Linked DNA regions of Drosophila melanogaster. The protein of the gene in region 3 interacts with the protein of the main gene of each other region in a pairwise test. Each region holds a gene or a part of one and is shown on either strand. Other genes may lie near its edges.

Region 1 (6,180 bases), on a different chromosome or scaffold from region 3:
CAAATAACTCATGCACAATGCACATTGATAAATCAAAGTCACTTAGCGTTGATATCGATTTGAAATTCACTTACAGCCCCGCCGAATGTCAAAGTACTGACCAAACAAAGAACTCAAAAAAAGCAGGAGAGCCAACGCAAGGACATATCATTTATATCAATTTAAATAACGACCTTTCAATGGTCAAGGAAAATCCCGTAAAAAGCTCAGCGCAACCCGCAGAGGCAAATGCTTAGATGGATGGTCGGACGAAGCATTGACAGTTGTAAGCCATAAACCACAGAAAATTGGGCATTATATTAGTTAAGATGCTGTCAAGCCGAAGGGTATCCCATTCCCGAGGACAAGGGACAGCCCACCGTGCAGACATATCGCTTTCAGCACGGAGCTAGGAGATAATCGGGCGGACCGGAGTATCCTGTGACCGGCACTAAAACACCGTTTGACAGGCAACGAAAGCCCGGAAAGCGGGAATCCCCAACATTGAAATCGAGACAGAGGAAAAGTGACCACCAGATAAGCAGAGCGCATTCATCTTACGGGAAATCCGAAGGATACGGGACAAAGACTAACCGGTGCGGTCAAAGAAATCCGAATAAAGTTAAACAAAAGTTGGACACACATATTAAGGGCTTAAAGTGTAGCCAGAAACCTAAAACAAGGAACTTATCTTGACAGCTCGACTGTGCACTTAACCAGGTTACCCGCAAAATACACCTATATATCTTGATCAATTTTGCTGGCGCGAGGAGGAAATAAAAAAACTTAAATCATAGCCAGCTTTTGTTCAGCTTTCCAACCTGGTTTCAGTCGCCTTTTTTCCCTCGGTTTTGTTTTGCGGGCTTTGTCTGCACCACTTTGCTTATCTTGGCCACACTTTTTATTGGTCACCTTTATTTGGCCTGACATCCCCCATATTTCAGCAAATAACAGCAGCAGAGATAAGTGGCAACCAGAAGGACATGCGAATTAGTTACATTTTTTGTGGAAAATATCCTCAGGAAAGGGTTCAAAAAGTAAGAGTTGCAACAACAGCAATGAAAGGGAAATCAAATCGTTAAACGAAAAAAATGCTCACTTAACTTTTCCATTTAATACGAACAGCTCCTAGAAATTTTGCACTTATCAAAATGTCACAAGAAATTCCAAGATATTTATGCCATACAATAAATTATGTTGCAATTTCATAAACCGCTTCCTCCGAATCAAACTGAAATTTACAACTCTATCAAAAATTATCGCTGCAATTTTTCAAGCAAGAATGTAAAAAATCAAATTTTCATTGACACCGCAAAATTCAAATTTCCAGCACTCTTCTCTCGTTTTTTTTTTTTTTGGAATTTCGAAATATCTCTGGGATATTTTCAAACATGACACCTGAAACTTTGGCATACAAATTTATGAAAATATTTGCACATCCATTTCACGGCTTGAGGGATGGGAAGGCAACACCTTTTGGCTTCATTGAACTTGCAGCTTCGCATTACACAAAGCCCGAGGAGGAGTCTGCTACCGCGATACACATGCAAATTTGTGTACAAACTGAATCAATTTTTACCGCGATAAACTTCGGCTCCACCTTTTGCGGTGGAAAAGTGGAGAGAGCACCGGATTTTACGGCACTGAGGTAACTGCAAAATGTTGTGTAAAATTTGCAAATGCAATAAATAACTCGTTTCGGTGTAACGAAAAAAAAAGGATTGCTTCTGCTGTTTACACCCCCTTACAAAGGCATGTAGCGATTCCTCTTTTTTCGCTTCTGTATCCTTTTTTGCTCCTGTTTAGGGCTTTCATCCCCCCACCGAAACCAAAGCGCGCCACATGTGCGAGTCTGGTTGTACTTCCTGTGGGTTCCTTCCTCTTCGGTTGGAATACTCTATAGAAATTAGTTATGTTGAATAAGTTTTAAATTTAAAAAAAATTTAAAACCATTAAGGTACTTGTGTTACTCTCAGCTTTAAGTTCTTTCTGGCATGGCTAAGCAAAAGAAAATAGTTTTTATTTTCAAATGGTGTATGGTATAGATCATAAAGTATTCAATAAAAAAAGAAAGGGTATTTTGAGCCTAGGCAGAACGCACTATGCATATTATCTCAATTTTTGTTTCGCTCTTCTTGTTTTTTGGAGTGCTGCAAAGCATCCCCGAAAGTATGCAAATAATTTTTGGCCCCAACTCATATTTGATATTCAGTGTCAGTTGTTGGAAGGGTTACCGAATACAAGTTATTGAAATTTGCATGCAACGGTTGGGGAGTTGATAAAGGGGAAATGGTTGGGCGGAGAAACAGCAGGCGTTGTTGAGGCAATTTATAGCACTTGTGTTAGGCGGCTGTTTCGCCGGAGGCAAAGTTCTCGGTTATTGTTTCGCCATATAAAAGGCGCTGGGATTTCTCAGCCCCAAAGGACGTAATTGTTTAGCAGTCTTCGGGCTTGATGATGTTCCCTTGATTTTTTGGCTGCGGAATTCTGAACAATCCCAGGGACTTCACCCTTTCGCACAGATTCCCAATTAAGTTTAGACCGGTTCAACGCTTTCGCATCCATCAGGATTTGGATGCGGCACTGAAAAGTTACCATCGCAACGCTAGCCGCACAAAAAAAAAAAGGACATAAAAACGCTTTAAATCCCTGGAAATCGCAAAAACTACGCTAATAACATTGTCATATGGCGGGGGTGATGGTGATTTTTTTATTTCCCTTTTTTTTTGGATTTTTGCACTAAACTTCGCTTATCAAAGTTGAAATTGCAGTTCGTTGCTGAGCGCAGCGCATTGGGGATTTGTCGGCCACTCGAAAACTCCAAATGCGAGGCATTTATTGTGGGGCAGGGATAGAGGATTTCATTTGAAACTCTGATACGAACAATCGGCGTTTTATTTGCCATTTTGGCGCTCAGAGTTTCATCATCGTACGCCACTGACCCAGTTCAAGCATTTATCACAACGGCACACACACGGATACAGGCGATTGTCCTGAGGGTCTGACCCCAGCACAATGAATGACCCCCCATATCGCATCCTCAACCTCTTCCCCCATTCCCTACCCCTTCTCTTCCACTGCCCGTCACACTGCTGACTAAGTGGACTTTTATTTCACTGCTATTACGGCCCAAGCAGCGTATACGCAATGAATAGTTTCGCTGTCAAGCTTTCGCCTTTTTCTGCCGCACTCGCTGGCCATCTTCAGTTGCTAAGCGATTTAGATTTGGGCACATATCTCACCGCTTTGGGTGGGTTATTTGCTCTCTGTGAGAGATAAAGAGCCAGTGGCTAAAACTCTTCAGACGCTTGCCTGAATCGAAATCATTGTTAAATGCAGATAACTACTGTCTGGCCCCCGGCGGCGTCCATTCATAAATTTAAGTCCAATAAACCTCCTCCTATCACTTATCTGCCGGTTCTTCACCTACGAAACGTCATTGACTTGATGACGTCATGTGTCATCTTTATGAAATTATAAATAATTTATTTCCTTTGGACAAGCGCCAACCTTCAACATGGAAATTTCAGATAGATAAGACTATCTACGACTTGCTCTGTTTCCCAGTTTATTGAGTATTGAGTAGAGTATGTTCAGTAGACGAACGCCTTTCGAGGGAACAAGTCGGCCATGAGCTATCAGAATTTACTAGGTTTTCTACTCGTGGTGGGTATCGAATATACACGAAACATCGTTAAATTAAAACATACAACTGTACATTTAAAATCAGAACAAAAGCTTTACAGCAATAAATCATCCAACATGTGTAGCTTGGTTAATTAACATTTTATAACACTCAATTCATACTAACTATGGCTTGAATATAAATGCTTTCATATTATTCCAGCTGACCCCTTCTTTGATCAATACCTATGGAGATCGAAGTCGCTATCGGTTGTATTTGCAATCAGATTACGCTCTGCAAACAATCAGCACTCAGCTAGTTTCCCAGGCAATCGAGCTGGTGGACTATGTGGTGGAAGATCTGATCGTCTTGGACTCGCAGAACTCCATTCTGTTGGGCTACTTGGATCGCTTCGATGCCTTCACTGCCGTAAATGCGAATAAAACGGAGCAGAAGCTAAATGCCTTCTATGGCGTGATTGAGGACTATCTAGATTCGGATACCACGGGAGATCCACTGAGAACTTCCAGTATCGAGACCCAGTTGATTGCGCTTTGCTTGCAGCGCAACGGATTCGATCGATGGAAGCGCACGGTTCAGACCCGGACATCCCAGCTTCAGAAGCTGATATACCGGAAGTTGAGGAAGCACCTGGAGTCCATAGACAGGGAGGATCGTTTGGCTGTGGAGCGCAGGTGGAGGAAAATCTTGACTCGTGGCGGACCCCGAAGATTGGAGAAGCTGAGGGAATTCGTCAAATGGCTGGGAAATTTCAGAGATTAGAGTGCGGCGGCCCGGGTGAACGAATTGTTAGGCAATACGATATGCCGTTTAGTGATAAGAAGAGTTATAAACATTATTTATGGGTGGGTGGAGCAAGAGAATGTTTGTGGTTTAAATATAACCGGCCATGACCTTGAGGTATTATCAATGAAAGCAATATAAGAACGAAGTTTGAATTTGCATTAAGAATGTATTTTAGTAATATTTATTATTGCTATGTTAAGCAGTTCCTTGGCTAGAAAGTGGATGTTCTTTATAAAAGAAAACGTATTCATAGCATTTGTAAATTGAACATGTACCAACGCCTGGCAGTAAGAAAGTGCATCGAAGCTATTATCCTTTTGTGTCCTTGCACTTACTCCCCCTCGATAAATGCAATTTTAGCACAGCACGTCCCCTTCCTCATCACTCGGATCATGTATGAGGGCATTGTTTAATGCACTTCACAGCTGGAGGAAACTTTTTCCAGGCCCTGTGTCGACGGCAATGAAAACTTTGTCATGCCTGGCAAAGAGGATGATAAACTTGGGTAAAAATTATGAAACTGAATATGGAAGCGTTGGCGAAATTGAGACAGCAAAACAACAGAGCCAACAGACAGGCAAAAGACATACGAGACTTTTAGCCAAGCGAGGACTAAAACTGAAACTAAAACTGATACTTTTTATGGATGGCAAGTGAAAAATGTAGACAGTTGCAGAACGACTTTCCGGGCGGGGGCCAAAGGCAGGAGGTGAACGGGATTTGCTGGGATGAAAGAAAAATGGCAACTGCATTTCCTGTCTGAGAGCTGACAAAGTGCTGAGTGCATTTACGACTTGGACTTGGGCGAGTGTTTTGTGTCTTTCCTGCAGCTGCAGGAGATGCCAGGAATTTATGCACTCAGTCCATAGTCCACAGTCCGCAGAGAAAGCTCTGGAAATTCCTGACCTGAGGCATTTTCTGTAGGGCCTGGGCTATTTTCTTTGGGCCATCTGATAATCGGCCCCAGCTGTGGCTAATCGGTTTACATTTGTCACACTGGCACTTTGGCCAAGGATTCTCTACTGGTAGATGCCACTTGTCCAGGAATCTGGTAAGTCCTGACGTTTCTCCTTAGAATTATGTTTGGTTAATGTTATATTGAACTTCAGTACATCCTTTTCCAATTACTCTGCCGTAATTTGGCAGGACCGCATTAATTTGTCGGCAAAATAATTCCTTTGGACTTCGATTCATACAAAACATATAATTTTATTAGCACAAGTTTCAGTTTTAATGACAGAATTTCAACGACAGTCAGGGTTCCCTTCCTATAAACTCGTCGCCTCGGCGTCTACAGCGAAAACAGAGAAAGGACTTCATACAACCAAAAAGGACGAGAACACCCATACAAGCACAGCAGGCAGCAATGATAAGAAAAATTACGACGAATATGAACAAAAGTCCCCAAGCACCTAGGTTAGTATCCGGGTGTCCAGTGGTTGTACGGTACGCCACAGTTGTCATGTTAAAGTCTATATATTCAATATCGTATTCAGATAGGGTTGTAGCATCCAACTCGGCCATAGCTTATGGGAAATAAATTGCAAATTTTGTTGCTTTCGATAATAGATTGAACCCTCTAAATGGAAGGAAATATGTATAAGGAAAATCACATTAAATTAACGAATGCTTCTCACCGTTCCTTGCATAGCAGCTTAAGAATTTCGATGACCCTGACCCTTCAGAAATTTTATTTTGGGTATAGATTTTTTTTTAATTTTAAGAGTACAGTCGCAGCTTACTGAAGTCGATATTTTTTTGTACTTTAA
Region 2 (6,957 bases), on a different chromosome or scaffold from region 3:
CCTAAACAGTTTTTGCTTTTTATTTTCGTTTAATTATACACTTTTTATGTAGTTTATATCGCACGACTCCTGGCACTGGGCAAGTAAATAATAGCTGTTTTTGTACGACTACCAACACTACTCTGCTTGCTAACACTAAAAGTACACACATTTGGCGGAATATGAAAATGATTTGTTTATTACTTACAGCCCACTTTTCGCTTAAAACTAATAAAAGACATATAAAACCATCACATGCACTATATTCCTATTTATCAGACACTTTGGATTCCCGACTCAGGACACGCAGAACCGCAGTTGGGGCAGCAGAAACTGGCATCCGTTAAAACATTTGCATTAAGGCAGTAATAGCAATAAATATGACCACAGCCCATGTGGTGGGGCAATGTGGGTCGCTCTCCACAGAATGTGCAGGTGGTGCTTAGTGTCATCTGCGGCGCCAGGAAAGCCGGACCATCTCTATCCTCTAACCGTCGTCCGGAAAATGTCCATGATTTTAGCACTCTTTGTAGCTTACGGAAATTGATGATGGGCAACACCAGTCCGAGGATTTCCTATAATATACACTGTAATATATATGTATAATAAGCAAACTAACTAACACGCACCATAAATCCTCCCCACAGCAGCTCCCTCGTTAGGTACTTGTAGCCAATGTCTCTCCTTTGATTGTTCCGCAGACTAATGTAGTCCAATCCCAATAAGTAGTCCACCAAAGTGGGTTTTCGTCCTGTCTTCAGGAACCGAAAGTAATTGAGGATGTTCAGTATCAGGGCACTGTTCTCCACCCACATAATCGCCTCGCTAAACCATTCTACGCGCCTTGTTAAGCGTCGCTCCTCCCAGCTCTTCACGTAGCCCGGCAAGACGGTCAGGATGAAATGGAGCACCAGCCTGGAAACGGTCAGCTTTTCGGCATCGTAAGCCAGAACCAGTAGCTGTTGGCCAAAAGTGGAGCACCGCTTGCCGACGGAACCAAACCAAATTGCGGATTGAATGATCAAGTCGAGCTCCGGTTGGATTTTGATGAACAAAACGGGCTGTGAGAGATATACAGTATATATTGGCCAATTATGGTAGTGTTCATATACTCACTGAGATGGCTTGCAAGTTCTCCAGCAGATTATCGCGTATCAGGCGGGCAATGTCCTTGTTCAAATAGATGGCATCTATCTAAAAGGTAAACATGTATAATTTTAGTGGTTTTAATTCATGAATAGCTCACCATAATTAGCTCACCTGATTTACACGTGGTACATATTTGTTTTTCTCCATTATTTTGTTTATATTCTTGCCTTTGGTTAGCTGACCATTGATATATTTCTTATTTATATGTACTCTGCCCTTTCTTATCAATTAGAGATGGCAATTGTAAAGAAAGTTTACTAGTCATTATCGACATTTTTAAACAGTGCTGGTAAACTATATCGACAAACCCCGCCAAATTTAAACTAGCCATACTAGCAATGCGGTTTGATTTTTTATTTATTGCTAATTGAAATCAGCTTATATATCAATTACATCGACATTTCGAAGAAACTCCAAGTCTTTTAACCATTTAGGAAGCATTTTCCGTCAACATTTCAATTAAGGCTTATGCAATTTCAATGAAAACAAATACAAGAAACCACAATGAACTGAAGAACTCGTTTGGGATCCGGAAAATGTGTCTAACGATGTCTGGTAATTTGTGGAAATCTTGCCCATTGCCGTTTACGTCTGGAAACGCATAAACCAGTTGGTCAGCTGAGACATTTGGTCATTTGTTTGAGGAGTGCAAGTTCAATGATTGGCCCCGGCTGAAAAAATTATGGCCAGTGGTCGGGTGAGTTTTGATTTTATAAAAAGTACATAATTCACACTTTATTACACAATTTACAATTTCTTCGTTCGATCTCTGTTTTACGAGAAGACATAAGTATACATTACAGTTTACAGATTATAGATTATAGATTAAAGATTAAGGCAAACAGTCGAGTAGTGATCGGTAAATTCGTCTGAGCAGGTAGTGACTAAGGATCAGTTGAAAGCGGAAGATACACATAGAAGTTATTCGCTATCACAGAATAAAATACAATATACAAAATGTTAATGAAATGGCCATGGACAGGATGTGATCCTTGGCCTGGGTGTGTGCTGATGTCCTAATTACGAGATATGAAGCTGATTCCATGGTCGACCGATGTGGATATGCTTGTCCCTCCTCCTAGTCCTCATAATCCTCCTCCCACTTCCGGCTGATGAGCAATTTGGCTAACTCTAGTGCGCAGTGTGTACTAGCTTAGTAGTGGTGTTCGTGCAGCTCCTCATGATGATGCACTGGAGCGGTCTTGTGGACCACGGCGTTGAATCCATTGTGCTTGTCGGCGGTGTAGTCCACGGTGCGGATGGAACCATCGGGCTCCACCAGGGAGTACTGTCCCTTGACGGTGTCACCATCGCGGGTCTCGTGCTGCGACTTCACATCTCCGGTGTGGAAGTCATTCACGCCGTACTTGAAAGCATATTTGGGAGGAGCCTGTTAAGAAACAACATTTCATCATCATCATCTCTTTGATTATAGTTTATAGTGTAATTTTGAATTTCAGAAACAATACTCACATAGTAATCCACATGTTCATCATGTCCGTGAGACTCGTGGGTCTCGTAGTGGGGCTCAGCGTGTTCGAGGTGACCGTGCTCCTCGCCCAGTGAGATGCGTTCGATTTGATGGTGGCCATACTCATGGATGGGCTCCGGTTCGTGATGGGCCAGGTGCTCATATCCATGGCTCTCCTCGTAGTACTGGTGCTCCAACGGATAGGCGAGGCTCAGGCACAGAGCCGAGGCGAAGATCAGATACTGCAAGATCAGATAGGTGGGTGCATAATTAGCAACTAATTGTTTCCGTTGACGGAGTGTGTGTAGTTGCAAGTGCTGCAATTAGCGTTGGAGGACTTGCTGGCCACAGACAGTAGCTATCCATGTTATGGCTGCTTTGCAATTTCGGACTTTTTCCTCTTGCTGGTCTTAATGAATTCATAATCAAGTGTTTGCTGTGGTCGACTGACGCTTTTGTTTGGATATACTTTTAGTGGTTACTTTGTGGTTTACTGGCTGACTGCAAATTTGTTGGTTAACTAAGCGGGAGGTTTATTTAACTAAAGCAAAAGTGTGAGTTTTTTCCTAAATCCTAAAACGATTTACTTTAATAGGTGCTTTTGTTTGAACTGTGGTTTTTGAGGTTGTCTTTAAATTGGTTTTTTAATTAGCACAAAATAGCTAAATTGATTTAGTGAAATTTTGTCAGGATGATTTTTAAACTGAAATTTAGTGGTCCTGACGAATATTTTACTAAAAGCGCCTTTCTTTGAGCTCCTAGTCTGTCATTCTCTACATTTATAATTTTTCTTTAGTATAGTAAATAGTACAGTATCCTATTGTTCCGATGTTTAATAAAATTTGTTTCCATTAAAAATCATTGCATATTGAAATTAAAAATCACATTTTTAATATGAATATCCTTTTAATGATTGCTGGAGATTTGGAACACCTTTTCCACTTCGTTCACCACCAAATCACTTGGTTTCTTAAATATCACTCGATCCTCAGATCGTTTTGCTGTATCCTTTAGGATATTTTTTTGCTGTATAGTTTGTTGTTCACAATCGTTATCCTTTATCCTTGGCTGCTGCTGCTCACCTTGAATGCCATTTTAGTTTGAGTTTTAGCTCGCGATTTATTTGGAGATCACTGGTTGACTGCACGCAACGACTTTTCACCACTGAATAATGTGGTTGCAACCAAAATGCGCCGCTTTTATATGGTTAGGAAGAAAGTGAATCGGCTGGCAGCGGTGGTTCGGTGGCTCGGTGGATTCAAGCAGCGGTGGTTTGCAGCAGCGACTTTGCTGTCTTCGGTGAGCGGAGCGTCTCTTGAACCGAATGTAAAACAGTTCACTTGTGGTTGTTGTTTGCCATTGTTTGGGGTTTGATGTTTGCAGCCCCAATGCACTTAGAATAAAAAGTCGGCACAACTCAGGAAAAATATCGAAAATCAACAATGATTACATGAGAATAGAAACAAGAAAATGTGGTTCTAAAATTTTATAATTGCCCACAATGGAAGACAATATGCCATACAAAGGTAATAAAGTTCTCTACATTTATGACAAATATTACATTTTTAAATATTTTCCTCTTATTTTTATAGATTATTTTATATCTAGCAACATTATATTGCAACATTTTCGATAAGTGCTTGTCGTCCAGGACTCTTTGTGTGCCATTAGTGACGCATGCGATGGCGTTGATAAGTCGTCATCAATGTGGCTGATCGGCAGTTGCAACATTGCAACAAAACCCCATCCCCCCAATCCATCTCTCCCACCCCAGCGAGCCCAAGTTTGTTAATATTTTGGTATTTTCGCTTTGGCCAACTCGGCTTGGCAGCCTATTTGCATTGCAGGTCTGCATTGTTGCCGTGCAAGTGGGCTCATTAAACGCAGTTTGACCCAAATTTCGGCTTGATGATTTTCGTGGCTGCTGCTGGGCAACATTTTTGGGGCAACCTTCTATTGCGGCTAGCCTCCGGTTAATCGTTCACTTTTAATGCGCTGATTTTCGTAAATTCGTAACTGGTAAATAGCATTAGATTTGAATTGGGTCTCCAGGCTGTACCAATAAAAGCCAATTTTGTAATATTTAATTGTTTCACACAAAACAGAAGTTTTGTTCGCAGCTCTTTTGTGTGTGTGTGTGTGCTTGTGGGCCTCACACACACACTTTGGCTGCCACGTACTTTAATTCAAAGTTAAGTGCCACAATTGCGTTAAAGAAAAATTAACCAATGCTAGCTATTTTTTGGGTCTTTCGTCAATTTGCAATTGGTTGGCGCTAATTAGGCAGCGAAGCGTGGAATTTAGTGACTCTAAGGTTCTCACCTCGAAGGTTGAGGCAATCGTTTTGTCAAATGCATTCAGGTGTTTTGTTTCTCAGCAACAATATAATTCCAGTTTGTTGTAACTTAAATATATTCACTAACAAAACGAAAAAAAAAAACTTATGCACACTTTTCGTTATAAAAAGCATTAATTTGTGTCAATCCAGTCCTCATTATTTTCCCACAACTTTAAGGAAAATCCTCAACATGTTTTCCCCTATTTAACTCCAAATTCCTGCCCATCATGCACTCGTTCAACTCATTTCATCCATCTCTGTAATCTAGTTCATCGGCAAGTTGTTTGCCAATAACTCAAGAAATTACTTGGATTTGTATGGGAATTTCGTGCAGTTTTTCAGCCAACCACTTTGCATAGCCCCGATTCACAAGCTCTTTTTTGGCAGATCAGCCATGGATCCATGGATCCGTGGATTCAATCTGGTCAAAACGAAACGAGTGTCATCGGGTTGATGTACTCTTAAATACGAGCACAATTTTAATTGCTATATTATGGTCGACAACGTTTGACAACATTGCGAGACATGACAAACCGAAAAACTCGGGGGATAAAAACAAACATTTTTGTCCACGATGATTACCAATCCAATCCGCAGTAAATCCCGATGCAGCGCAAGAAATATGGCAAATAAAATAAATGCTTAATTATGGCCCACGATTTGGGGTCTACGTCTGCTGTTTTATGTTTATATGTTTAGCTGGAGAGCGTTGGCGTTGCGGCAGGTGAAAAAAATAACGCAAGTCAACATGCCACACTCGACAAACGACTGCAGTCGCCTTTGCGGCATTCCCCATGGACATACAGTCACGTACCGCACTGTATCTGCCGCTGCATTTGGCAATTCGACGAAGCGCCGCAAATTGAACGCATTGCTGATACAATTTTGAGTTACAATTTGGTGAACTTTCCAAAGAGAGTCCATCGAATATGGCGGAAAGTTGGGGATGTACATTGTAAGTGTACTGCAAATCAGGTACTTTTAACCCAATGGAAAAATAAGCTTATCTAAATTCCTAAACATGCAAAACATCTAACAGTAGACTATTAATCTCTCAAGGGTATACAATGTTGTCTATTCATTTTTTGGCCATTTCACCCATTTCTGTCTTGTGATATGCAACAAATTTTCGTCTGATTTCGCTGCCACTTATCGACTCAAAAATTGTTATTTTTCCTCGCTGTCGTTGTAATTGCACACCAAATTTTCATTTTGCTGGCCAGCAGGTGTTAATTTTTTGGTTAGCTATAGTTTAGATTCACTTTGCTGTAATTTTTCTTTTTTGCCTGGAATGACTTACTTTTACCCAGAGCACTTGGGCACTCAATCAATTCCCACTCACAAAAGTGAAAAGTCAAGACGCGTTGTTGCTGCTTTTGTTGGTTATGCGCATGCGCGCATGTAACAGCTGCAGGTAAGCAGGCCAAGCAATTACCTAGTAACTCATATTTACCGTTAGACATTTAGTACATGCATTAACTTGGCCAAAAGCAGTTGAAGTCCTCCTGCCGCTACAGCAAAAGCCGAAGCTATAGCTATTTCTGGTGTACATTTGCGACATCGGCCAAACAAAATAAAACAAAGCAATCGGACAAAAAGTTTGTCACACTGCAAAAAATATCAAGAAACATTTCTCTGTTTGTTAATGTATTAAGGAACCTAATCTTAAGGATTATATGTGCTTTAGTTGGTTTTGATCCATAGTCATAGTTTTATTTATGTTATATTATGTTTTATTTTATTTTTTTTTAAGTAAACCCATATGCGTTTTCCTTTCTTAAGTCAAATACAATCGATATTACTAGTTTTGCTCAGTGTACCTTAAGCGATCGCTTGCAAACATATTACAACAACAATGGCTGGCAATCAGCAGCCAACTTTGACTTTTGTCTCATTGTTTCATATTTATTAGAGTCCCGGCTAAAAAACCTTGCAACTCAACAAGCCAGCGACGCGTGCATCTTTCCAAAATTGCTGTGGGAATTGGCTTTGGCTTTGGCATCGTATTTTGGCCACTACT
Region 3 (7,452 bases):
TAAGCGCGCAACACAGAAAAATTTGTGCACCGTCTTCAAAGAGGGGCGGCAAACGTTGTTCACCTGCTCACTCCCCTCGCTCCCCTCCGCCCAATTTTCCCATTTTCCCGCCCTCCGGTCCAAAACGACGTGAAAATTACCTAGTTCCGTGTGCTTAAAGTGGGCCTTTTCGCTGGGTGGGTGGAAAAGCGTGGAAAGTGCAACGACTGTCCGCAATCAACAAATTGCATGCGATTAAAAGTATTCGCGGCTAATAAACGTTTGTTGAACAAACAGCAACAAGCGGCCTCCTGATTTTCGGAGTCGCAACCGGAGGGATACAGGATATGCTGCAAGGAAGTGGAGCAGGAAGTTAGCGGGGCGCAGTTTATAGTGCATAGGGCCTGTTTCGTTCTCTGTTGATTGGAAAATTTGTTGCGCGCTTTTCGTGGACAAAGTGAGCGGTGGGGGGGGGGGAAGGAGGGCGGGGTGGTGCCTCTGCTTAAGTTTTCAATTACACGCCGGCACAATGCAGAAAGCGCCCAATTGAAATGCACAGACAACAAACATAGAACAGTTCCTCTTACACAAAAGCCCAACATTTCATTTTGACACTGAGAAAAATCGGAGGAATGTGAAAGAAATACGTTCAATCAAATACAATAAAGCTGTTATGTTTGATTACTGCTTATAACATTTCAGCTTATCAAACTAAGTTGTGTTTTTGTTATATGATATATTTATAAGATCTCATATTCAAATAAAATGTTGAGCTTTTTGACAACAAAAAATTCTTAAAGTTTTTTTCCTTACAATTATTTGCAGTTGAAGAATTTTGTTTCAGTGCACCCCTTTTCCTGATCCCATTCTCTTTTACCAACAGTTTGGTAGACAAAAGGCGAGCCGTGCGTGCGACGAGGCGTGAAGGGGTCGAGGGGCGGGGCAGGGGCGTGTGGGTGGGTCGGCCCGTTCCACAGATATATAAAATACTTTTTTTTTTTTGGGGAAAATCAGATGGAATGGGAATGGGGACGGGGAAGTTAGCCAGGCCTAGCCGAAGTGCACTTGAAACTACCGGCGAGTGGCTCCTCCTCCCTCTGCAGTCTGCCCTTCACTTTTGGTTCGGTTGCAGTCGCTGCATTTTTAGGTGTAGCCATTAAATTTAGAACTTTTTCTGCACGCTTGTCTGCGCGCCCATGGGTTTTCCGGGGGGAAAATCGGGGCAGGAGGAATTGTTGAATTCAAGGATTTCGGCAGTCGGGTGCGGTTAAATGGAAAATGAAGCGTCTGCTGCTTGGGCACGGAAAAAAAAGCAACTGAACCACATGAGGCATTGCTATAACGAGGGTAGATGACTTAGTTTGAACAATGTTTTCTCTTGACAAGATAAAGTTAGCATGGTAAACGGATCTAAACTTTGATTTATAAATATTAGTAATCCTTCAATTGAAAAAGTAACTAAAGTAGTAAAATCATCATCAAGAACTAAACTTTCAACTTTAATTATTGCTTTTGAATGAAATCCAAAGTTGCTTTGTCTTTCGTAACTTCAAGAGCTGCCCTCTGGACCGATTCGCTATGGAATCTCCGACTGATTCAGATTGTCTCTGTGCCTGCCGTGTTTTTGATTCGTTTTGTTGTTGTTGTCTTTTCCACAGCTCTAAAATTAGTTTTCATTGTATGCAACTTGAATTTTCTTCCTTCACTATTTTCGTTTTCTTATTTTCGTAGCGCTCTATCTATTTTTTATCTGCCTCGATTTGTGATTCTTAATTTGCTTTTTGTGGAAAGCGTCAAAATCTTTCATTCGGCTTCGACTTTGTTGCCGATACTATATACATAGTCACCTATAGTCTATAACCTTTGTTGTTGCTCGCCTAGCTAGTTGCGCGTGTGTGTGTGTGTGTGGTTGCTGTTGTCTCGTGCTGTTGGCTGTTGCCAGTTGCACGTTGCACGTCCCCCTGATGCTAGTCTCGTGTGTGCTACCGTTGGCAGCTATTATTTTTAGCCGGCCTGCGGCAAGTTCTTATTTGTTATTTTACCCATCTCTTTTTTTGCCGTCTTTTGATTTTTTTACGCTTCTTTCCTTTTATTTCGTTTTGTTTTTTCTTCTGTTGATTTGTTGCCATTGCTTTGGCCAAATGATTTTGTTTGATTTTCCATTTACGTTGAGTTTGTTTATTAAAATTGGCACACACTGCGTATGTGTGATGTGGCCGTGTTTACATTCACCGTCTCCCTTCCACCACCGTGTGGATAAATACGAATACGTATGAGTTATATTTTGATAGCTTTCTGTGTGGTTTTGTATTACCCATCGGCTTTTGATTTGCTTGATTTTTTGACAGGTCTCTGGCATTTGCCTACGACTAACTTTTATTTTTCTTGATTTATTCCTGCTATTGTTATTGTTTAAGTCTCTTTGCAAGGAGGGGCGCTGGCTTTTCCCACATACGATCGAGATTTGGGTCAGGGGGACAGCAAACAATGAGGTAGGCAAGTATATATAGGGTAGCAATAGACTCATGTGTCCATAAACTAATTTAATTTTAGATGCACCTTTCCATGGCAGAAAAATCATTAAAATTTGACTCGATTAATGCGTGTATTTTTGGCGAATTTTTTTTTTGTAAATCATAAAATATTTATGACGAATAACATTTTTTAATCATGTATTGAGTCAGCCCATGAGATGCTAGTTTATTTTAGCTTTCGACAAAATGAATAATATATTAATATATTAAATAAATAAATGCCAAATTAAAATCGGCGATTGACTGGCTGCCAGAAACCAATTTTACTCGATTATTTGGGCAAACATAGTGCTTGTTGCCGAATGGTATGGCGAAAATGAAAGTAAATAAATAAATGCCGGCGTTGATTAGCACATCACAGATTTAAAGTGAGTGGCAGGTTAAGCGGGACTCTCATTGATGATGAGAATTCACAGCTTTTGTTTGCACATTAATTAAACTGTTCCCCCTACTTTGGTCGCAAACAAACGCAGCCAAGTTGCTGCTTCCCTTCGGTAACCTTTGAAAATCAGTTGACAACTGGCTGTCGTCGCCGTTTTCCCTGCTGAGCAGCTCGAAAACATTTTCCCCTGCACACATCTGGCTTTTCAACACCTTGGACAAATAAATGTTTCAGAAGTTTCTTAAAAGCCCGCCCTGCCCCATCTGCCAGCCACTAACGTGATTGGACAGAGGAATGCCTTTTGTCTATTTTTATTGGGGCGGCAACAAGAGATCGGGCAGATCTTCTATATCTTTTCTATATCTGAACGCTTATGTCTGATAAATGGCGGCGGTATATTTACCTTTTTGATTTCATAAATCCAACAATGTATGGCTGCGGGATTGGTCTTTCAGGATGATTTGAATTCAGTTGTGCACTCTGATTAAGATTTGTTGATGTTTTTATTTTAATTTTTGGTTCATTAAAGTTGCGCCAAAGTATGCAAATTGAAATTCCGACAACGCGCTGTCTAATTAGTCACCCAACTAATTTTGATATGCGATCTTTGTTTGAATTTTGTTTTGTTTGGACTTTTTTTTATTCTTTTCGGATTTAAAGTTATTAGCTCATGCATAAATTTGGCATGTTAACACAACAAAAAAGGTTTGTTTTCAGTTTTTATTTCCTCAAAAACTTCTGGAACTTGTTTTGGTTTGAATTAATATTGCGGTGGTTGTGGTTGTTGCGGTTGTGATTGCGCCGCTGGTTTAACTATTGATAATAACTTCGGTACGGTTTTCGCGCATTCTTGAGTTGTGTTTATCTTGGGCCTGCTGGAAAAGCCTCGAAGAATGGATTTTCCGTGAAAACGTGCAAGCCGCGTGTGTCAGTGCGGCGGTACTAATGTGTGCGGCGGTGTGCGTGAGGCCGGTTGCTAAAAATATCTATGAGTGCGCGTCGCTCGCGTTCTGTGTATCTGTATCTCGGAATCTGTATCTGTATCCAATATCCCGAGATGGCATACGAAAATACACGGAGAAAATGCTGCGCTGCGTCCGCCTGCTGCGCTTGTCGGCTGTGCACTGAATAGATATATCTCGCGGATCGCTGGGATGGTCTGACTTGGTTTGGCTTGGGATGCGGTGGCAGCTAAATCAGCTGACTACTGCCCCCAGTTGGCTTTGACTCCGTTAGCCAGGTTAGCGGCTCAGGTGGGCGGCGATGGCAGTGGAAGTCGGACTTTTGGCTCACTTGTCCGCTGCGCTGAGCGTGCGGCGCGCTATTGGAACGATCAATGAATGAAATGCCGCATTAAAAGGCAGCACAGTCTCGTTTTCTCAGCGACGACCAATAAACCGAGAAACCCACTGGCGCTCGCCAACGCCAACACAAAACAGCCCAGCGCACAACACAACACAACACAGCACAGCTCAGCACAAAGTCATTGAAGAGAAACCAGTTCTCTCTTTCCCCAAATATCCACATCCACCCGATGTGTGGGTGCTTTTTGCGTTGGCCGGATCGGATGGGATCGTATCGTATCGGATCGTATCGTATCGTACTGTATCGCATAGTACGGTCCCAGTTGGTCTTTGGCGCACTCTCTTGAGTGATTTCCGATTCGGATGGATTTTCGGTTTCGTTTCGAGTGTTTTGAGTGCTACCACGAGTACGCGTAGACGGCCCCCTGAGATTTCGTATGATCTAATATCGCCAGGCAGTTATTTATTTAAATTTATTGCTAATTTTATTTGCTGCTGCAGCAGCGCTTGACATTCATTTGTACAAGTCAGACATTGCTTGAGCTCACTTGAAAATAGTTAAAAATGTTTATTCGCCTTTGATTGAGATGGTATCAGCTACCAAAGCTTGACTTGTGTCGGATCTCCATTTTTAAGGTTGAACTTTGGTTGCCAGACCATAAATGATACTCATTCTTGGTATTTATTTGGATCAACTTGGATTTCGTGGCGAATTATGAGGCACGTCGAAGTAAAGTTCAAGGAAATCTCCTCATTTGTTTGTCATTTAAGTGTTTTAAGAATGGATGGTGGAATTTTGTTGTTTTAACTTTAATTCATGACAAGTATTTAAAGTATTTCCTGTAAGATAATATAAATATATATAATAACAATTCTTCGAAACGTGGTGTTCAGTAATTTTCAGCAATTTAAATTGTAATTAAAATATTTTTGATGGGTATCTGATAGCCGACGCTTTTGACTCCTGTCCATATATTTGGATTTTATAATTTATTCTAATTCGTTTCGATCAGTTTCAGTTCAGATGTATTGGGTGTGTGCACTTCTCAAGTTGTTTTCACATAGCGTCTAATTTCAAAGTGCTAAGCTGATTTCAAAGTCACAATTCAGTTGTTGGAACCCGATTTTTTTTTATTTTTCAACAAAGAATATTGTTTAGAGTCATGTTTGTATAGTTTGTTTTTGCTTGCATTTTGTTGCTTCGCAAATAATTATAATTAACTGAAACAGGCAAATAATTGCAAAATGGATTTGCTCCTGCAGGCAAAACAAGTTGTTTTCTCATTATTGTAGCTATGACGACATACCCGGCTTAAATCTCGAGTTTGCCCCGATATACTCATATACGAGCATTTGTGAATAAATGACTTCGGGCAATAGACCGATCGACTCTGTGACTGACTGGCGATTAATTTATCTTTGTGCTTCTGTCTTCTGTCTGAAGGCGAGTTCGTCATCGTTTGTCGTGTTTTGTTCTTGAGTAAATAAATCATGATGACAACAGTTAAATTTGATTATGATTCTTTTTTTTTTCATGCCCAGAAAGCATACATTTTTCATGGCACAAGGTCGTCACACATTTTAGGAGAGTGGAAAAGTAACGCATGCAACATTAATTTGATTTGCGTGCGAAGGGAGCTGAAAATCAAATTATATATGTACGAATATTTTTGATTAACTGAGCGTATTTAAAAATACATACAAAGTGGCCAAAATGTTGTGTTTCTTTGCTGACAGCTTAATCTGCCGAACGACGACGACTCCCAAAGACAAGAACATGAATAAGCGAGCCATAATTAAAAAAACAAACGTCACTTTTGAATGTTTGTTTTGTGACCAAGTCCAAAAATATATGGGCATGGCCAAAAGGGGCTGAAAACGTGGTAATAAAATATATACATTTTAAAAAATAATCAGTTTTAAATAATTTCTCGCACTTTTACACTAATAATTGCCATAATGCATGCTTGTAAAGACTGAATTTATATAAGTTTAACTAATTGCTACTTAAGTACTAGAATTTTATGGCGTTAATTGTCATTACTTTTAATCTAATTTGAGCGTGAATAATGCCCCTGCTCCACCTGCCATGTCGCTCAATTGCTTATGCAAATGTTCTGAGTTTCAGCTTTGGCTTTGGCTTTTAATTGCCAGCTTCGGAAATCGCATTTGCCTTAATATGGTCAGAAAGCCAGGCGCGATGCCCAGTATAAGTTCGATCAAAGGGGGGCCCCAAACGCTATAAGCCATCAGCTATTAGCCCCTTCCCTCTTGGCCCACTTGGATGGCCGGCGATCCCGCTAAGGAAGTCTGTGAGACGTGTCTGCGACCATTTATGGCCATCGCACGGGAAAGCAGTGAGAAAGCAGAGACTTTTGTATACAAACTCTCTCGACTCGGCTAATTGTGAGCATCGTGGGGCTTCGGGCCAAGCTTCTGAGCTGGCTGTTTTGTGTGTACTGTTGCTACCTTGTCGGCTGTTAACTTTGTCTGCAGCCTCGAAAAAGCGTTGGTGTCGCTGAGTGGGCGGCGACTGGGTCTTGAGTCAACGTTGATTTTGTTTTATATTTTACGTAAATTTATTATTACAAATATCGTTATTGCCGCTTTCAAGCGGAAATACACTCGACTTGGCCAGCCCACGCTCCCTCACGGTCATAACCACCTGCACAGGTTATCTTTTCGTTCTGCCTGTATTTCTTGTTGGCTTTTGGGAAGTGGAAGCTGGCTATTTCGAGTGGAATTGGACGAGCGGAAATGCCAGGCGATTAAGTTGTTGTTCCTCAGCTCGGTTACGTTACCTTTTTCTATTCGTCTCATTTTTAGTGATAATTAATTTTCGTGAGCTCTGTGATACTGCTGATTTGCATAAGTGAGGGTCGCGTGGGTGCGGGGCATATGAATCAGTTGGTAGACTTATGAATGGCATAGTAAAGTTACTTTGTTAACTTTCACGGATTGACAATAGGCAATTATTGCAATGCGATTAACATAAAAATAAATGAAATTAACTCTTTAAGTGCTTTTTATTTGTCAATGCTGCAGGTATTTCGATTTAATTGGTTGAGCAACGTATGAATGGAATTTTATTGCATTACCATTAACTTGTGCATGCTCAAAATGTAATATTTATTTGCTGAAATCTTTAATGATGCGTTTAAGTAATTCTATTACAAATTAAAGTGAACATAAAATGATAATGTGAAAATATATTTGTTTGTTATTTAATTGAGTACATTGTCTTTTGTCTATT
Region 4 (2,683 bases), on a different chromosome or scaffold from region 3:
TGTGTGCGGAAGGGTAAGGGGGTGGCGGTTGAGGGGGAGTAGATCCTGTCAGCGTGTGACTAAAGTGTGTTGGTGTGTGTGTGAGTGTGTCGGTGCGGTTGGGTAGCAGCAACATTGTTGCAAAATGATTTTGAAAAAAAAAAACCATCAATAACTCAAATATAATGACAGTTTTCCACTTGTTGTTGCCCGTCACAATCACCCGCCGCCCCTAGCTGCCAACCACCACCATCCCCCGCCCCTAAGTGGGGCTAAATGGATGAATAACTTAAGCCAGCTGCTTCGCCTTTCCTCTTAGTGTGCGATGTTATGTAATGTAATAACGTCAATCAAATTTAAAAAGGCAGACCAACTATTTCAAAATCAATTTTCCTGAGACCCCGCCCCAGCGCCCCTTCGCCATTGCGCCCCCACCCCCTTTTCATGGAAGCGGTGGGAATGTGGAAAAGTGGAAAGGCAGCGGAAGGAAACAGGAAAGCGAGCTCGGCTTAAGCAAATACACAAGCACAAGTTGTTGCAGCATCAGAGGAATCCTGAGTGGGCTGTTGCTTGTGGAGCGGAGGAAGTAGGCTAATGTAGCAGAAGAAGACTCCGGACTCAGTCACTTTGCAAACAGTATCCCCCACTAAGCTCTGACTAGCGAAATTTGCAGCCAGGCACCGTGACACCGAGTGAAAAAGTGCCTGCCATGGTTAAAGTTGGGTTTAAACTTTTGACTGGCCGTGGCGCGTGGTTTTTGCCCCCGGGAGAAATGTATCATTCGTGTCATTAATCATTCGTCATGTGGGACGGCGACAACATTTCATTTGCTTATCATCCGGCTCAAAGTCTTTGGGGGAATGAACGCAACAAGAGCAGGCCTCAAAGTTGAATGAATCAAATGGGCTGTCGGAAAACTTATTTCTAAGCCTAGAAATCCCTGACAAGTCAGTGGCTTCGCGTCCCCTGCGATTGTAGGGATTTGAGGAGGCGGAGGTAGAAGCATTAGACAGAAGGTGTGGTTAAATAAATGTTTTCTTATTTGCTGAAATTACAGCAGTCTTAATTAGGATTTTCTCAAAAATATTTCACAGTATGGTTGAAATTTAAAAGTCCAACTATGATAGCATTTATTCAATATAATTACTTGAAACTGGACAGGGATTACAAAAAATCCTTTCAGCTAGTACAAGAGCATCCTTTCAATTTATATGCCCGCTTGATTTTTTATGGCCAGCACTCCACAGCACAACTACTGCCCATCATCATCATCATCGTCATCTAACATCATTCCTGTCCCATGGACGGCCACTCAAAGGCAAGCGCTGAATTGACAAATTGATGGATGGTTCTCCAAACGTTGCATGCTTCAGCATCTCTGCTTTCCTTATTTTTTCCCTTTATTGCCCCTTGTACGAGTATATGATGCATTATTATTCCGGAAAAGTTTGTGACCGCAACAACAACAATTGCTTGCCTAAGTGTTTTATTAGCCATCGAGAACAGAGTTTGAGTTCGGTTGAGTTGAGTTGATTGTCAGTTTTCATACACATCGGTTTTTCCCCATTTCTCCTTTTTTTTTTTGTATTCCTGATTTTCCTGAACTACTTTAGGGTTTTATTTGCTAGTGCCATGCCTTCTTTTTCCGGCAATGAGCTGACGAATGAGCATATCGACGAACTGAGGGATGCCTTTGAAAAGTATGATCTGGACTCGAATGGCACATTATCAGCCAACGAGGTGCGACTGGCTCTAATATCAGTGGGTTACGAAATCACTGAGGCAGAGTTGTACGATCTCATCCATTCGGTGGCTGTGAGAGACGAGGAGAGGCTGGACTTGAAAAAATTTATACGCATGATGGCGCCCCGAATGGCCAATGTGGATAGTGATAAAAGTCTATGCCGGACCTTTAACATGATTGACCGCGATCGCGACGGCTACGTCACCGTCCAGGATGTTCGTGCCATTATGGTCGTCCTGGGCGAAGTCGTAACCGATGACGATATTAAGGATATCTGCCAAGCAGTCGATATGGATGGCGATGGTCGCATAAGCTTGCGCGATTTCGTAGGCTTTATGCACAGCCCCATTTGAGCTGAGACAGCAAGCAAAATTGAACATTTTTCATACAGAGTAAGCAAACAAACAAAAATGTATCTCACAAATCTATTGTAGATTATAATAAAAATTATTGTTTTCATAATTATTAATATATTTAATTTTTGTGTAAAAAGCCAGTCAGTGTTTATGAATTTTCGTTTAATTTTATAATGGTTTTTTTTTTATTTAAAATGTTCTTTATTTTGTTTTTAGTAGGGCTTAATGTTTGAAGTACTTAAAAATTGAAATTCAATACATAGACGTACATATATTTCTGCCTGCTGGCAGAAAAAACGAAGGCGGCTGAATGGAAAACGGAAGGAAAAAATTGAGAGCATAAAGCCAGAAATTAATTCAACAGCACGTTTCGTCCATTAAGCCGCCAGAGCTTTGCTTGCTGACTTTGCCATCCTTTCGCCACCGCCCCTGCCACTCCCCCTGCAGGACATGGACATGGACACATGTGCAATGGCCGCACACACAAACACACATGCAAAGTGTTGTGTAAACAAGTCAGCTGCCAGTTGGCTGGGCGCTGCAGGCGGGGCTCACAGTAGGGGAAGAGCTAGAAGATGAAGAAGGAGCTTATCCAGAAGGAACG

The links.
Region 1: the proteins of tx (region 3) and CG13488 interact in a two-hybrid assay, tested with the Drosophila melanogaster proteins (one large-scale study listed by BioGRID).
Region 2: the proteins of tx (region 3) and Cpr66Cb interact in a two-hybrid assay, tested with the Drosophila melanogaster proteins (one large-scale study listed by BioGRID).
Region 4: the proteins of tx (region 3) and CG13526 interact in a two-hybrid assay, tested with the Drosophila melanogaster proteins (one large-scale study listed by BioGRID).

The regions. Positions count from the first base shown.
Region 1 is NT_033778.4:21,948,018-21,954,197, forward strand, and holds CG13488 (uncharacterized protein), read left to right. Parts: upstream 1-3,574; 5' UTR 3,575-3,609; coding exon 3,610-3,753; intron 3,754-3,826; coding exon 3,827-4,387; 3' UTR 4,388-4,545; downstream 4,546-6,180. Other genes in the region: CG43405 (uncharacterized protein), read right to left, coding at 5,666-5,935.
Region 2 is NT_037436.4:8,333,473-8,340,429, reverse strand, and holds Cpr66Cb (cuticular protein 66Cb), read right to left. Parts: upstream 3,759-6,957; 5' UTR 3,694-3,758; coding exon 3,682-3,693; intron 2,842-3,681; coding exon 2,602-2,841; intron 2,519-2,601; coding exon 2,282-2,518; 3' UTR 1,835-2,281; downstream 1-1,834. Other genes in the region: Pex2 (peroxin 2), read right to left, coding at 255-554, 609-1,040, 1,096-1,173, 1,240-1,275.
Region 3 is NT_033777.3:26,437,583-26,445,034, reverse strand, and holds the start of tx (taxi), read right to left. Parts: upstream 4,258-7,452; 5' UTR 3,299-4,257; intron 1-3,298. UniProt on the Drosophila melanogaster protein: Probably plays an important role in the differentiation of epidermal cells into the tendon cells that form the attachment sites for all muscles.
Region 4 is NT_033778.4:22,753,714-22,756,396, forward strand, and holds CG13526 (uncharacterized protein), read left to right. Parts: upstream 1-1,505; 5' UTR 1,506-1,611; coding exon 1,612-2,076; 3' UTR 2,077-2,183; downstream 2,184-2,683.